Linked DNA regions of Callithrix jacchus. The protein of the gene in region 4 interacts with the protein of the main gene of each other region in a biochemical or structural test. Links are inferred from orthologs where the notes say so. Each region holds a gene or a part of one and is shown on either strand. Other genes may lie near its edges. The genes, in order: PPP2R1A, NF2, UNG and DCAF1.

Region 1 (4,122 bases), on a different chromosome or scaffold from region 4:
TGGGAGGCCGAGATGGGCGGATCATCTGAGGTCAGTAGTTTGAGACCAGCCTGGTCAACCTGGAGAAACCCCATCTCTTCTAAAAATACGAAAAAAAAATTAGCCAGGGGTGGTGGCGCATGCCCAGTTACTCAGGAGTCTGAGGCAGGAGAATCACTTGAACCCAGGAGGTGGAGGCTGCAGTGTGCCAAGACTGCATCACTGCACTCCAGCCTGGGCAACAGTGGGAGACTCTGCCAGAAAAAAAAAAAAAAAAAAAAAAAAAGGGCCATTACACATCTGCTTCCTCTTCCTCGGAGGCTCCTCCCCACCTTCTTTCAGTCTCTTCTCAAACTCTGCATCCTCAGAGGGGCGTTGCCCGAATGGCCTACTTAAAATGCATCTGCCCCACCCAACTTTGTAATCCTGCTTCCTCTGCCTTCAGGTGTGTTCTCAAACATCATCTCAACAAGGCCTCCCCAGACTACACTTTAAAACTGCATCTCCTCTCTCTCTTACTTTTCTCCCTGACACTCATCCGCATGTAATACAGTATACTCTTCGTTTACTGTCTGTCTTTCCTCACTACAAGGTAAACTCCCCAAGTGCGGGATTTTTTGTCTCGTTCCCTGCTATACCAGTGCCTAGAACAGTGCCCCGCACAGAACACTCGCCCAATTCAATGTGGATTCACTACCACAACATCCTGTTTGTTCCCTTCCCATCACTTTTCATTCAGCTCTGTTGGCCTGTTTCACACGCAGATCCTGTAGAGCAACTGGTGTCTCCACTACACCCCCAGCATCATACCTGATACACGCCATGTGTTTACTGAACAAAAGAATTCATACGGCCGGGCGCGGTGGCTCACGCCTGTAATCCCAACACTTTGGGAGGCCGAGGCGGGTGGATCATGAGGTCAGGAGTTTAAGACCAGCCTCACCAATATAGTGAAAGCCCATCTCTACTAAAAATACAAAAATTAGCCAGCTGTGGTGACATGCACCTGTAGTCCCAGCTACTCTGGAGGCTGAGGCAGGAGAATCGCTTGAACCTGGGAGGCGGAGGTTGCAGTGAGCCAAGATCATGCCACTGCATTCCAGCCTGGGCGACAGAGTGAGACTCCATCTCAAAAAAAAAAAAAAAATTCAATACAACAGCCCTATGAACTACATAATTATCCCCAATCAAGAGAAGAGCAAACAGAGGCCTAGAGAGATTAACTAATTTGTCCATGTCAATCAGTGAGAAGTGGAAGGGCCAGGAGTACAACCACGGTCTGTCTGCCACCAGAAAGTGATATACCAGGAACCTAGGGATGGGACCCACGTTTTGTAGGTTACCCAGTGCACTTGTTCAATTTTATAAACGGGAAAACTGAGGCCTAAAGGGAGGATGGGACCTCTTTAATCACCACTCCCAATAAGTGCAGCTAATATTTATCCGGCCCTTATGGCAGGCCTGACAGCACTCAACTTTGTGTCATAATTCATTCAGCCCTTCAACAAGTCCCTCCAGCAAGACGAGGGCTACAATTAGCCCACATTTTATGGGACAGAGGCCCAGAGCGGTGAAATAATTTGCACAAGGTCACACAGCGGGTGGGAGGTGAACTTGAAGTCCTAACTGTTTTCAATCCCACACCACCTTGGGCCACCTCATCCCATAACCAGAAATGTTCACCCGGGCCGGGCGCGGTGGCTCACCCCTGTAATCCTAGCACTTTGGGAGGCCGAGGCGGGTGGATCGCCTAAGGTCAGGAGTTTGAGACCAAGCCTGGCTAGCAAAGCAAAATCCCATCTCTACTAAGAATACAAAAATTAGTTGGGCGTGGTGGATCGCGGCGGTAATCTCAGCTACTTAGGGGGCTGAGGCGCGAGGACGACTTGAACCCGGGAGGCGAGGCTGCACTGAGCCGAGATCGCGCCTCTGCACCCCCACCTGGGTGACACAGCGAGCTCGGTATCGAAAAAAAAAAAAAATTAGGAAGAAATGTTCATCGGCTTAGCAAAGCCTTCGCCCCCTATCCTGGTCAATGGGAGGATCCGGGGGTGGGGAGGCAGCTTTCTACAATGTAATTCGCCCCTAAATTTGGCTAGTCCCCACTTTTTGGGGGGGGCGCTGTTTCTGCATCCCCCTCCTCTTAGGACACCTACACCAAAATGAGAAGCGTAGGAAAAGCAGGAATTGCGATGGCAGGCTTTCGCCTCTCGGTCCCCACTTGGCCCAGGAGTATAAACCCAGAAAAGAAAAAAAAAACAAAAAACTCTCCAGGTCCCGATCCACCAGGCGGCCCTCCCCCACTCGGAGCAAGTCACGCGCGCCCCACATCCCCAAGGGACCATTCGGAAGCCGCCGCCAATCACGGAGTCCTCCTCTCTCCTCTCCCCAACCCAGCCCACCGATCGTAGCCCAGGTCGCGGCCTCCCAGGACCCAGGGCCACCGCGCGCACTCTGCAGGCCCGGGACCCTCGAGGCTGGCGCTGGCCCCCGCCCTCCGCTGGGTCGACACCCAATCGGGGGCGCCGTCTCAATGAGTCCGGGCACCCGGGGAGGTAAGAAAAGCACACTGATTGGCCGCCGCTTCCTTCCGCCACTCCCAGCGAACGCTGAGTCTTCGCGAGTGCTGCCGGTGTCCCAAGATCCCCCTCCCCACTTCCCTAACTCCCCCGTAGCCTCCGGACCTGAACATCCTCGTTGCGGAGTTCGTCTATGAGCACCGCGATGGGGTACAACGAGTCGTCGCCGTCGGCCGCCGCCATCTTGGCTCCGTCCCGTTCCTGTCAGACTGCGGCCAGCGCTGTGCTGAAACCCGGGGCAGAGCTGGGAGGAGGAGGAGGAAACGCGCGCGTGGGGGCGCCCAAGCCAGTTTACAGGGGCTGCTCCATGGTCATTGGCCGCGCTACGCCGGGCTAAGCCCGCGTTTCTTTGGTCCAGACTAGTGAAGTCCCGCCCATTTCCCATTTGCCATTGGTCGATTGAACGAGATTTGACTAGTTTGAGCCTAGGAGAGCGAGAAAGAGGAACTTAGCGGTGTCCTAGCGACCAACATTGTACCCGCCCTCGTCTCCGCTGACAACGACCGAGACGAGCAGTTGTTTGTAGCCAATGAAGGGCGAGATGGGGAGGAGGCTAAGCCTGCCTTTCGGTAAATCCCGGAGGCTTCTGCGCGTGCGTCGATGGTAATACATGACGTCATGTGGGGAGCGGTAGGGTGTGCAGGTTTTGGGTTATCAAGCCGTGGTTCCATTGGCTGGCGGAGTGGCCCCCCCCCCGCGCCTTTGCGCGGGAGGAGAACGGAATGAGACTTTGTATTTATTTTATGCCAAGGCCTAGAGAAGGGAGTGACTTGCCCTGTTCTCTCTCTTTCTCTATCTTTTTTTTTTTTTTTTTGCTTTTTTAAAGACATTGTCTCGCTGTGTTGCCCAGGCTGGAGTGCAGTGGCGCGATCTCGGCTCATTGCCGCCTGGACCTCCCCAGTCTGAAACGACCCTCTGGCCTCAGCCTGCAGAAAATTTTTGTAGAACCGAGTCTATGTTGAGCTCAGTTGTCTTGCTCTTTGGATGAAACCCAAACCCCTCGGCTGGTATCCAATACCCAGATTACAGGCGCGAGGCATCAAGCCAGGCCTAATCTCTGTTTTTAACCTCCCTAAACACATTGCCCCCCCCCCACCAACCCACCCACTGAAATCTTAGGACCACTGTAACTAAGGGAGTTGGAGGGATGGGAAGGCCTGGGATGCTCTTTCCTCTTTCATTCTGCTACGCTTGAAGGGCTGGACTGAGCTAGCGCTCTGACAGGTCTGAATGCCCCCAGCATCTTTTTCTTTCTTTTTTTTTTTGAGATGGAGTCTCAGTCTGTCGCCCAGGCTGCAGTGCAGTTGCCTGATCTCAGCACAGTGCAACCTCTACCTCCCTGGCTCAAGTGATTCTGCTGCCTCAGCCTCCGGAGTAGCTGGGTAAATTTTGTATTTTTAGTAGAGACGGGGTTTTCACCACTTTGGGCTAGGCTGACCTCAAACTCCTGACCTCAGGGTGATCTGCCTGCCTTGGCCTTCTAAAGCGAGCCACCACACCTGGCCTTTTCTTTCTTTCTTTTCTTTTCTTTTTTTTTTTTTTTTGAGATGGAGTTTCGTTCTTG
Region 2 (3,560 bases), on a different chromosome or scaffold from region 4:
TACCGGATGGGCATAGGAACTCAGTTCTCCTGCCAGGTGCACCTCTCTGGTCGGGCTTGTACCTCTGTGATAAGCCCCTGACCCTCTGATGGCCGTGTATGCAGGAAAACCCCTGAGTATATCCACAGACTGCTTTCAGCTGAAGAGACGTGAGAAGGCTCTTTGTTCATTAAAAAAAAACAACAATAACAAGGTTCTTTTCTGCTTTCATTCGGTGGAGCTGCAGAACAGCAGCTGCTTACCTTTAAAGGGAAACTAGTGCCTGCATCCCCCAGCCTTCCTTGGCACATGGGGGAGGAGGGCTAGGATAGTCTCTGTGACTGGTATGTCCCACTCATGGCCAGGTTGAAGGATGGAACTGTTGTCTGTACTTTTGAAAGACTATTCTAGGCCTGCAACCTTCAGATAAACACTGACACATTCCCCACAGCTTTTGGCTGTTGATTTAGAGCACTTGAATTTGGCTTTTAGTTACCAAGGTGCATTCACTACAGTTTCCTTACCACTCTTTGCATGTCATTCTGGGAATATGGTTTCTTTTTGCCTGTCCTGCTTCGGCCCCCTTGCTGTATGCAGGTCACACTCCCTGTACATGGCAGATGAGGTGCAGAGAGCCTGCAGTTAGGGACTGGATAGAACACCCTGGTCTGCCATTTGGCTTGGACTAGGGACTGCACACACACAACCTGTGATGCAGGTTGGGCCAGGTCCCTGTGCCAAGCCTCACATGCTGTGTCCACCCCAAGCCCCGCAGGGTGAGGATCTTCACCAAGGTGCAGTGCCCTCAGTGACAGGGCTCATCTTCCTGCTGGAGAAAGTGGGCACAAGGCCTGCAGGTGTTTTACCCGGGGACTGTGAAGACACAGCTCTTGCATATACTGCGCTTTGCGATCCGATATAAGAACTTTGATCCTCCAGGCTTTTCCTTTGCCCAGCTTACTTTCACCCAAAAATAAAGCAGAGAAAGCTGCTGGTGCTTCCTCCAGCTCCTCCCTCTCCCGGCTGCAGACGGTCTGGTTTCTCTCATTCCCCACCAGTTTTCCTGCTCTTCCAGTTTAGATTTACCAGCTCAAATGAAAATCTTCAGGAGTGTTGTCCTTGCTTTGGAAGTTTTCATGTAAATGTCCCTGTCCCGCTGTCCTTTTTCGCCTCTTCAGGTACCATCCTCAGGGTTAACCAAGGTCTCTCCTTTGCACAGGTAGGGTGGGGTCTTTTCCCTCCACCTGCCCTGTTCTGTGATGCTGACATCTCCTCCTTTCCTTGCAGGGCCAAAGAGGCCGATCAGCTGAAGCAGGACCTGCAGGAAGCGCGTGAGGCGGAGCGAAGAGCCAAGCAAAAGCTCCTGGAGATCGCCACCAAGCCCACGTACCCGGTGAGCCTGTGGGGTTGCCACCTGGGGCTGCCTTAGCCCTGGTGATATTCTCTTTCCTTCCGGCCCTTCGGTTCATCTGGCAGTGCCTTCAGGCTGACCATTCAAGTAAACGCATGGCAGGATGAGAGGTGCAGAGAGCCTGCAGTTAGGGACTGGGTAAAACACCCTGGTCTGCCATTTGGCTTTGGACTAGTTAGTTGTCTCTCTGGTTGCCTAGATAATAGGCAACAGGGCCTTTTCCAGCTCTGGAATCTTTTTCATGTTCTAAGTAATATAGTCCCAGATTATCCTCAAGAGAATTTGCTCTCTTGCCTCTTAATGCTGAGCTGAATGTAATCTTCAACTATCAGTATATACCATATATCATAATTATAGTTTTGGGAAGGGATTGGCTGTACATCTCAGAGTGAATTATTGCTGTGCAAGAATGAGCAGCCAATCTCAGTTTCAGGACAGAGAGGCAGACTTCCTATTAAATGGGGTCACAAAATGAATAGAAGCCTCTTTCCTTCCTTTCTTCTGTGCATTCAGTTCAGCACTTTTTTTTTTTTTTTGCATATTTGTTCTGTATCCACATTGTGCCACATAGTTGGAAGTCTCTATCCTGACAGGTGTTCTCAGGGTGCATGGGTGCCTAGAGGAGGAGGACACAGCCCATCCTGGAGGGGCAGGAGAGGCTCAGTATGGTGTCTGCACTGAAGCTTGAAGTAGGAACAGGAAGTAGCCAGGTGGAGAAGAGAACATAGGGTATTCAGGATGAGGGCACAGATGCACACATGGCCCAGACTCATACACGGCACAGTCATGCACATGGCACATCCACACACAGCACAGACAAACACACACATACCCATACATACATTCATGCACATGGCACAGGCACATACATGACACAGATGCACAAAGAGCACCAGAGGCACAAGCTGCCTGGGGTTCAAGGTGGGGGAAATGTAAGCAGTTTGCTGTTGTCATATATCCTGGTTCTCTATTACTATGTAACAACCCACCCAAGCCAACCGTGTGGCCCAAAACAACCCTTTATTAGTACCTCTGGTGGCTGGTTGGGTTGACTGGGCCAGACAGAGATCCTTGCTGGGGATCTCTCTGGTGGTCACAGTCAGATGGTAGCTGGGACTGTAGTCATCTGAGCCCTCAGCTTGGCTGAACACTTGAGATGTGTGTGTTGTTTTTATTTATTATTACTGATGTGTGTGTTGTTTTTATTTATTATTACTTTTTTTTAAAATTTATTTAGAGAGTTTCACTCTGTCACCCAGGCTGGAGTGCGGTGGCACAATCTCGGCTCAGTGCAACCTCTACCTCCTAGGCTCAAGCGATCCTCCCGCCTCTGTCTCTTGAGAAGCTGGGACCATAGGTGTGCGTCACCACACCCAGCTAATTTTGTGTGTGTGTGTTTGGTAGGGACAGGGTTTTGACATGTGGCCCAGGCTGGTCTCAAACTCCTAAGCTCAAGTGATCTGCTCGCCTCAGCTTCCCAAAGTGCTGGGATTATAGGTGTGAGCCACCGCGCCCAGTCTATGTGTTGTTTTTAAAATACACACTGGAGCAAACTTTATACACTGCTGTATCCACTCTTTCCTCTTAGCAGTCAATCCTAGAGGAGATGATTCATATCACCTTTTTAATCAAGTTTTATTGTGTAGATGGATTATAATTCATTTAACCAGTCCCTCATGGATGAGTATTTAGTCTGTTTTCTTTTGCAGTTTTGAGCAAAATAGCACTGAACATCCCTGAACACAAATCTTGACACACACACAGGGATATACTGGTAGAATAAATTCTCATAATAGAACTGTGGGGTCAAATTTTCCATTTCGATACTCTCCAAAGAAGTCGTCCCAGTTCATGCTCTCACTAGTGCTACAGCAACTAGAACTTGTTTTTTCTGGAAATTTTTATGACGTATAACATACATATAGAGAAGTGCCGAAATTACAACTATACAGCTTGAAGAATTTTCACAAACTGAACATACCCATGTACCCAGCACCCAGATCAGAAAACAGGATGTCCCTGGCACCCCAGGAGCCTTCTCTTGCCACCCTTGCAGACGGTCTGCCTCAGGCCTTGAAAGTGTCTCAAATGAATGTGTCAAGCCTCTGCTCTTTCCCAGACACTGTCCTGGACTTAATAAGGGATACAAGGATGAAAAAGAGGCAGATCG
Region 3 (4,105 bases), on a different chromosome or scaffold from region 4:
GTATTTTTAGTAGAGATGGGTTTTTGCCATGTTGGCCAGGCTGGTCTCGAACTCCTAGGCTCAAGCGATACGCTCCTCCCTTCGGCCTCCCAAAGTTCTGGGATTACAGACGTGAGCCATAGCACTGGGCCGGTCCTGGGTACTGTCATGATGTAAAAATCTCTCTCTAGAAAGGAGAACACTTCCCAGCTGGTCTTCTGTAGCCAGGAGATGCAAGAGCAGCAGCTGAATTTGAGGTTTGTTTTGGAGAAAGAATCAAAGGGAGATATGGATGGTTTGGATGTGAGGGAGGGAAAGAGAATCCTAAGTGTATTAGTAGTGGTGGGGAGGAGGCACAGTGGTGTCATTTGGAGAATAAATCGTTGGGGTTTAACCTCTCTGACCCAAAAGTCTCCCACAAGCCTGATACATTAGGCAAAATGTTTGCCTGCTCTAAGCCTTAGTTTATTGTCATAAAGTAGGCCATGAAAATTGTGTTAGATAATGTATATAACAGTTCAACAAATACTATTTTATCTTTTGTGTGTTTGTTTTTGAGATGGAGTCTCACTCTGTTACCCAGGCTGGAGTGCAGTGGCGCAATCTCGGTTCCCTGCAACCTCCGCCTCCCGGGTTCAAGCGATTCTCCAGCCTCAGGCTCCCAAGTAGCTGGGATTACAGGCGCGCGCCACCACGCACGGCTAATTTTTGTATTTTTAGTAGAGACGAGGTCTCACCATGTTGGCCAGGCTGGTCTGGAACTCCTGACCTCAGGCGATCCACCTGCCTCGGATTACAGTGTTGGGATAATAGGCCTGAGCCATCAAGCCTGGGCAATACTATTATATTGTTCACTGCACTCCCACAACACCCCTAAGGGGCAGGTACTTTTCTCCCCCCACCCCCGCCACGCCGCGCCAGAGGCGGTCTCGTTCTGTCGCCCAGGCTGGAGTGCAATGGCCCGATCAAAGCTCACTACAGCTGCGACCTTCTGGCCTCAAGCGATTCTCCCGCCAGGGCCTCCCAAAACCCTAGGATTACAGGCATGCACCACCGCGCCCGGCTTTTTTTTCTTGCAGCTGAGCCTGGAGAGACTTTCCAATGGTCAGAGTTGAGCCGAAGGCTAATGAAATAATAGGCCCCGGGGCACCTTTACACGCCCCACCTCCTCCCAGAGGCGTTGCAAGGCAGCCCCTCCCGCACATGCGCACTAGGCCTTCCACAGCCCCCCGCCCCCAGCAAAGCCCCCAGCTCGGAGCATGCGCGGGCCGCTTGGCGCCAATTGCTGACCGCCACAGCCAGGACCAGCTTCGCGGGTTCCCCGGCAGCAGGCATTCGCTGCCTCCTCGGCTCCGGGATGATCGGCCAGAAGACGCTCTACTCCTTCTTCTCCGCTAGCCCCGCCAGGAAGCGACGCCCCACCAGCCCGGAGCCGGCTGACCTGGGGACTGGCGTGGTGGCAGTGGCTGAAGAGAGCGGAGATGCGGCGGTGAGGCGCGACGTGGGGCCAGGGCTGGGGTGGTCAAGGGGAAGGAAGGTGGTGAGCCCCGTCTGACTGAGGGCGTGTAGGAGTGCGCCTCTGAGTCCGTACCCTGGCTCCCCTTTCCAAGCAGCCTCCATGTGTTCAAAACAGCCGCCGCGGTCCCCCCTTGGGCCGCCATGCTGAGGGGTCAGCCAATGGGAACGCGCCTCGGGGCCCAGCGCGCCAATCCGCGCGCTGTGGGCCCGCCTTGCTCAGCGCGCTGTCCAATCAGGGGAGAGGGGGCGGGACCCAGAGGGAAGGTTTTTGCCGCGAAAAGGCCGCGTGGGGACGCGGGAGGCGGGTCTCGCAGGGGCGGGGCGCCTCTGTGCAGGATCCCCAGTCCCCGCGATACCCCTGATGACCCCGCGGGGACGCCTCCCAGCCCCTCTTTTCCCTCCAGTTTAGAACCTAACTCCCAATTCCCGGACCAGGCCTAGCCCTGGCTCCTATTGTCCGGTTCTGAGTCCTGCTCCTCAAATGGGCAGCTTCTGCCTTGGGCTGTGGGGGTTGGGCCGGAAGCTGCGGACGTCTGGGAAGGGGCCGCTACTGTTCTGGAGCCGCCTCTGCGGGGACTCCTTGCAGGCCAGCCCCGCCAAGAAGGCCCGGGCCGAGCAGGATGAGCCCGGGACGCCACCCTCCTCGCCGCTGAGCGCGGAGCAGTTGGACCGGATCCAGAGGAACAAGGCCGCGGCCCTCCTCAGACTCGCCGCCCGCAACGTGCCCGTGGGCTTTGGGGAGAGCTGGAAGAAGCACCTCAGCGGGGAGTTCGGGAAGCCGTATTTTATCAAGGTGAATATGGAAATACACCTTCCATAAGGGTAAATGTGGAAGCTGCCGGTTCTTTGTCTTGTTAGTGTAGCCGGCCAAGTACACGTTTCCGTAGGCTCAGGTTGTACCCCCTTCAACGTCCTTTACTCCATAGAGGTTTAAGAAAGCCATGATGTTTTAATCTGCACCTTTATATTGGTTAAAGTTGTTAATGATCGGGGAGATGGTATCATGACTTCATTTTAGCCACCTAGTCTGCTGTCCAGGAAAGGCTGGCATTGTAAAACCACCAACCATCCTGAATGAAACCTGGCTTGACGTTTAAAAAGAAACGGGGAGGAGTGGCACTGTCAGGACCACTCCTGAAAGAGGCAGGGAATTGACCTGATTGAACCACTTAGGTGAGGGGCAGGCACTGTTTTAGTTTGTTGGTTTTTGTTTTTTTTTTTTTTTTTAAGAATTTGGATATAAAGCATGGCAAAGAACTAACGATGTTCCAAATAACATACCCTAGAAGCTTTCTTATGAATTCTTATGGTTTCCAATGAGAATCTGATTTTAAGTCTAGTTTATCTTTAAATCAGCTAATGGGATTTGTTGCAGAAGAAAGAAAGCATTACACGGTTTATCCACCCCAACACCAAGTCTTCACCTGGACTCAGATGTGTGACATAAGAGATGTAAGTATAAGTTGTTGATGATTTTTATTGGGGAGAAGGAGTCAAATAGTATTCTTAAATTAGGGACACCGGAGTTAAGCCACAGTCCATCATTCAGTAGTAAATAAAACACTGCAATTGTGAGGTTCGGCTGACTGTATTTCAGCCTATATTTACTCTTTTTAATGTTTGACACATGCTATTTATACAGCAAAAAGGAGAAATATGTACATCCTATGCTTTTATTTCTTGTATTTTTTTTAAATCTGGAAACCTCTCGCAGTGTTACATATTACGGTGGTGTCGATGAAGTTCAGACTGACACACAAAGCAGTTAAATGTGTTGCGGCTATAGTCAAACCCACCTTGGCCTGACCACGCTGTCTTATAGTTAGCACTTTCAAGCTCTTTACTTTTGGCCTGAACGGTTTTATGTTTCTGTTAACAGATCCCTTTGCGTTAGTTCCTCTTATATAACAGTTGCTGCTTGGTGGCTCTCATCAGTCTCATGTTCAAAAGTCCGTGGGGCCAGGCATGGTGGCTCATGCCTGTAATCCCAGCACTTCGGGAGGCCAAGGTGGGAAGGTCACTTGATGTCAGGAGTTCAAGACCAGCCTGGCCAACATGGTGAAACCCGGTCTCTTAAAATACAAAAATTAGCCAGGCATGATTGGGCATGCCTGTAATCCCAGCTATTCTTCAGGTTGAGGTGGGAGAATCGTGTGAGCCCTGGAGGTGGCGGTTGCAGTGTGCCCCAGATCACACCACTGCACTCCAGCTTAGGTGACAGAGGCAGACTCCGGTCTCCAAAAAAAAAAAAAAAAAAAACTGTGGCTCTTTACTGTTGAACTATGAAAGCGGAGCAACCCTTTTTAAATAGGGCTGTGTCCTACCTCTCAGCCTTACCTCCAGCTCCCACTCCAGAGCTGGACAGTGTGACAAACCCCTCCCGACACTTCTGTCTCTTAAAAATCAAGTGGATACCTCTGTGGCGCCTCCTTGAATCCTGTTGCCTGATACCTGTATGATCCGGTTTTCCTACGATGCATTTAGCACGTACTGGACTTTTAGGTTTCTTACTCGTTTTCCTCCCCCATTTTGTAAACTGGGGCAAGAATCTTGTGATTTAATGAATACCTGTGAAATCAAATAGAAGTGAAATAGTTGAATAAACCAT
Region 4 (4,283 bases):
TCCAGTGGCTGATCCCAAGCCCCACTTACAAAGTGTGACCTTCCGAGGCAGTAACTGAGTTTCCACATTTTATGGAATGACCCTTTCTTCCCTGAGTGGTTTTCTGTTTTCTCCCCTGGATTGGCTCTTCAGTAGGTGGGATTCTCTACCCTTTGGAGAGAGTAGGCACTGAGCACTCTAGTTTCTTCTGACACTCTTCTTCCTCTGTGTAATCCAGCAGTTAGGGGTTCCAGGCTACCAAGGCTACCAGGGTTGCTTTTCTTCTTTTTTTTTGAGACAGAGTCTGGCTCTGACACCAGGCTGGAGTGCAGTGGCACAATCTCGGCTCACTGCCTCCCAGTTCACCACCTCTGCCTCCCAGTTCAAGTGATTATTCTGCCTCAGCCTCCCAAGTAGCTGGGGCTACAGGTGTGTGCTACCACACCCAGTTAATTTTTGTATTTTTCAGTAGAGATGACCATGTTGGTCAGGATGGTCTCGATCTCTTGAACTCGTGATCTGCCCACATCGGCCTCCCAAAGTGCTGGAATTACAGGTGTGAGCCACCTCGCCCAGCCCAGGGCTGCTTTGCAGCCGAGTTTGGTCTATGTGCTTGCCCAGGAAACAGGTAGGAATGGATAGTCAGGCATGGCTCATACATGTAATCCCAGCACTTTGGGAGGCCGAGGTAGGTGGATCATCTGAGGTTAGGAGTTCGACACCAGCCTGGCCAACATGTTGAAACCCTGTCTCTACTAAAAATACAAAATTTACAGGTGTGGTGGCAGGCACCTGTAATCCCAACTACTTGAGAGGCTGAGGCATGAAAATCGCTTGAACCCGGAAAATGTACATCTCAGTGAGCCAAGATTATGCCACTGCACTCCAGCCTGGGCAACAAGAGTGAAACTTCATCTCAAAAAAGGAAAAAAAAAAAAAAAAAAAAAAAAAAAAAAAGATAGTCATAGAGGGATGGCACTGAGGAGAATATCTGGTCCCTGGATCAGGGGCCTTAACCTCCTCTTTCAATAGATCACCCAGAACATCAGTGATCAGGACACTTATATGTACTCAGCTGGGTCAAGGGTCCTCCTCCTGCCCTAGGGTCTCAAAGGACAGGACAATGGTTAAGGAATACAGGCTCAGACCCCAACCATTCTCATCTTTTGGTGATGACTGAGACCAGAGAAACTGACCCCATCTGGAGTCTCCAACAACCCTTCTCACCCACTAGAGCCTGAGGCTGGTCTGGTGAGCTCCTCCAGACTCTACACCTCTCTCCAGAGTCTACAGGCTGCTTATGAAGTCCTTTCTCCCCCAAAGTCATGCCCACTAGTCCCTGGTTGCCCTGGTCCCTGGTCCTGTGGTGGGGCAGCCAGCTTTGTGACTTCATAGAAGGCTATCTTGTGACAAGTCTGGGCCTGGTGAAGCAGGAGCAGGGCAAAGGGGGCTCCCCTTAGGAATATCATGTGACTTTTCATAGAGAGACATCTCCATCTCTAAGGGATGAAGAAGAGCTTCCCCACAGTAAGAGCCCATGACACCCTCTACACCTAGAAACTCCTCTCCTTGAGGATTTTGGCTCCCAGGCCTAACTGGGTACTCCAGGCTGTATCTGGCAACATCTCCAAGAGGGCCAGGCCCACGGTAGAGGTATTTACTTCAGGTGATGGGTGGATCTCTAACCTCTGAATTTGTCCCATTTGACAAAGCCATTTTTCTCTAGGCCCCCCCTCTCTTTTCTTTAATTTCAAATATTATTATTATTATCATTTTTTTATTTTATTTTGAGACAGAGTCTTGCTCTGTCACCTAGGCTGGAGTGCAGTGGAGCAATCTCGGCTCACTGGGTTCAAGCAATTCTTGTGCCTCAGGACTCTGAGTAGCTGGGATACAGGCGCACAGCCGGATAAATTTTGTACCTTTTTAGTAGAGATAGGGTTTTGCTATCTTGGCCAGGCTGGTCTAGAACTCCCAACCTTAGGTGATCCATCAGCCTCGGCCTCCCAAAGTGCTGGGATTATGGCGTGAGCCACCACGCCTAGCCATAAGAATGATTTTTATTTTTATTTTAAAATTATTTATTTGTTTATTTTTTTTAGATGGAGTCTTGCTCCATAGCCCAGGCTGGAGTGCAGTGGCGTGACCTTGGCCCACTGCAGCTTCCACCTCCAGGGTGCCAGTTCAAGCAATTCTGTGTCAGCCTCCTGAGTAGCTAAAGATCATTCTGGGCCGGGCACAGTGGCTCACACCTGTAATCCCAGCACTTTGGGAGGCCAAGGTGGGTGGATCACTTGAGGTCAGGAGTTCCAGACCAGCCTGGGCAACATGATGAAACCCCATCTCTACTAAAAATACAAAAAACTAGCCAGGTGTGGTGGTGTGCACCTGTAATCCCAGCTACTCAGGAGGCTGAGACAGGAAAATCACTTGAACCCAGGAGGCAGAGGTTGCAGTGAGAAGAGACTGCTTTATTGCCTTTTAGCCTGGGGACAGAGCGAGACTCCGTCTCAAGAAAATACAGAAATAAAAAACAAATACAGGGGTTTCTGAGAGCTTGGAGGCCAGGCCAACACAGACCCTCTCCCCAATGTTAATTCCACTCTTCTTCCTCCTGGAAGGATTTCCAACCCCAGGAACCTGAGGCAAAAGAGGCTGGGTGTGCTTGCTTTTTTATCTCCCCAGTACTTGTGCCCATGGACCATGTGGGCACTTACATTGTTGACTTTGTGGCATCTGTTTCTTTCTCTGTAAAGTGAGAGTGGTGGATGTGAATGTAATCAGACATAATTACACACCCTTTGGGAAATGGAGTGGCATTCCCTCTCCTCATTTTCTCTGGGGGGCTATCAGGGCCACGAGGCAGGAGCAGGGCACCCAGTGAATGACTGGGATTTCCTCTTTGTCTAGGCTGGTGTTCTCAAGGATGGTAACCTTGAGCCTCTAATTGGTAGCTTCTGTGACACTCCTGGACACTTGCAGTAGCAGTCTTGTCTAGCCTAAAGGAGAGCAGGGGTGGATATGGGACAGCTGGCCTCACTTCCCAGCCCTAGGGAAGGGCATTGCTGGAGGAAGCACAGGAATTGTGGGGTGACACCAGGGTAAGGATGAGCTGGTGGGTGCACCTGGGTAAGCCTAGAAGGTGCTGGGAGTGAAAAGCTCGTAGAAGGATGGGAGCAGGAGAGGGAGGAGAGTGAAGGAGAAGACTGAGGCCCAGAGAACCTGCTGCTGTCCACTTTCCTACCCAGGTAGTGGGTGTGCTTGGACGTGGGAGTAGGTAGAGCATGCCTATCTGTAGGCCTTGGTCCTGGGGCCAGGGCTGGGCTCTTCTTGCATTTTCTCTGCTTCTGGGCAGCTCCAAAAGCACTCCTCGCTCTTTCAGATGAGGCTTCTTCTTTCTCAGGCACACTACAGAGCAGGGGGTGGAAGAGGCAGGGCAGGGTAAGACAGAGTCCAAAGATGTCCCACCAAAGATGCCAATAAATCTCCTTCCAGTGATGCAGGACCCATGTGCCAGAACCAAGCCAGGATGTGGCCCTGGATTGTCTGTAGCTTTGTGTGTTCATATGCTTAGATGTGAAAGTATTTGTTGTGAGGACTGGGTGCCTAATGCATGCTTGTGTATCTGGCAAATGTAATACTTGAACAGTGAAATGTGTCACCAAGCACACTTGGAATGTGTGTGCAGTTGGGAAAGCCTGGGTGCTCCCCCTTCTCCTTCCCAGAGGTGGGAAGGAGGTGTTTAGGGGTGTCTGTAGGTGCATGGCTGTGTGCATGTCAGGGAGGGGGAGGTGTTGGCAGGGGTAGAGGAGGCTACAGGAGTTACAGAGTGCAGATTCCTGAGGGTGTGGCTGCTGGACAGGCCCTGCTCATCTTCTGCTCTGCTTCCCCAGCCTCTTAGGCCCTGGGTTCTCCAAAGCCCCTCCTTAATGCTTCTTGCTCCCATCATCAACCCAGGACCCCAGGCTGAGTTTCTGCTTTTTTAAAGAAAATAAAAATAAAAAATTTATTTTGGGTGGCTCATGCCTGTAATCCCAGCACTTTGGGAGGCCGAGGCTGGGGGATCACCTGACGTTGGGAGTTCGAGATCAGACTGACCAACACGGAGAAACCCCTTCTCTACGAAAAATACAAAATTAGCCAGGTGTGGTGGCATGTGCCTGTAATCCCAGCTACTAGGGAGGCTGAGGCAGGAGAATCGCTTGAACCCGGGAGGTGGAGGTTATGGTTGCAGTCCAGCCTGGGCAACAAGAGTGAAACTCTGTCTCAAATAAATAAATAAATAAATAAATTAAATAAATAAA

Evidence for each region.
Region 1: of the proteins of DCAF1 (region 4) and PPP2R1A, one has a biochemical effect on the other in vitro, tested with the Homo sapiens proteins (2 studies listed by BioGRID, with this or other methods). The link is inferred for Callithrix jacchus from reciprocal best matches to the Homo sapiens genes DCAF1 and PPP2R1A.
Region 2: the proteins of DCAF1 (region 4) and NF2 form a complex in vitro, tested with the Homo sapiens proteins (3 studies listed by BioGRID, with this or other methods). The link is inferred for Callithrix jacchus from reciprocal best matches to the Homo sapiens genes DCAF1 and NF2.
Region 3: of the proteins of DCAF1 (region 4) and UNG, one has a biochemical effect on the other in vitro, tested with the Homo sapiens proteins (2 studies listed by BioGRID, with this or other methods). The link is inferred for Callithrix jacchus from reciprocal best matches to the Homo sapiens genes DCAF1 and UNG.

What each region holds. Positions count from the first base shown.
Region 1 is NC_133523.1:45,575,318-45,579,439, reverse strand, and holds the start of PPP2R1A (serine/threonine-protein phosphatase 2A 65 kDa regulatory subunit A alpha isoform), read right to left. Parts: upstream 2,816-4,122; 5' UTR 2,742-2,815; coding exon 2,664-2,741; intron 1-2,663. UniProt on the Homo sapiens protein: The PR65 subunit of protein phosphatase 2A serves as a scaffolding molecule to coordinate the assembly of the catalytic subunit and a variable regulatory B subunit.
Region 2 is NC_133502.1:200,270,089-200,273,648, forward strand, and holds part of NF2 (merlin), read left to right. Parts: intron 1-1,266; coding exon 1,267-1,372; intron 1,373-3,560. UniProt on the Homo sapiens protein: Probable regulator of the Hippo/SWH (Sav/Wts/Hpo) signaling pathway, a signaling pathway that plays a pivotal role in tumor suppression by restricting proliferation and promoting apoptosis.
Region 3 is NC_133510.1:111,975,663-111,979,767, forward strand, and holds the start of UNG (uracil-DNA glycosylase), read left to right. Parts: upstream 1-1,256; 5' UTR 1,257-1,336; coding exon 1,337-1,468; intron 1,469-1,820; exon of another isoform or gene 1,821-1,978; coding exon of another isoform or gene 1,979-2,083; coding exon 2,084-2,290; intron 2,291-2,853; coding exon 2,854-2,949; intron 2,950-4,105. UniProt on the Homo sapiens protein: Uracil-DNA glycosylase that hydrolyzes the N-glycosidic bond between uracil and deoxyribose in single- and double-stranded DNA (ssDNA and dsDNA) to release a free uracil residue and form an abasic (apurinic/apyrimidinic; AP) site.
Region 4 is NC_133516.1:34,070,547-34,074,829, reverse strand, and holds the start of DCAF1 (DDB1- and CUL4-associated factor 1), read left to right. Parts: upstream 1-1,437; 5' UTR 1,438-1,645; intron 1,646-4,283. UniProt on the Homo sapiens protein: Acts both as a substrate recognition component of E3 ubiquitin-protein ligase complexes and as an atypical serine/threonine-protein kinase, playing key roles in various processes such as cell cycle, telomerase regulation and histone modification.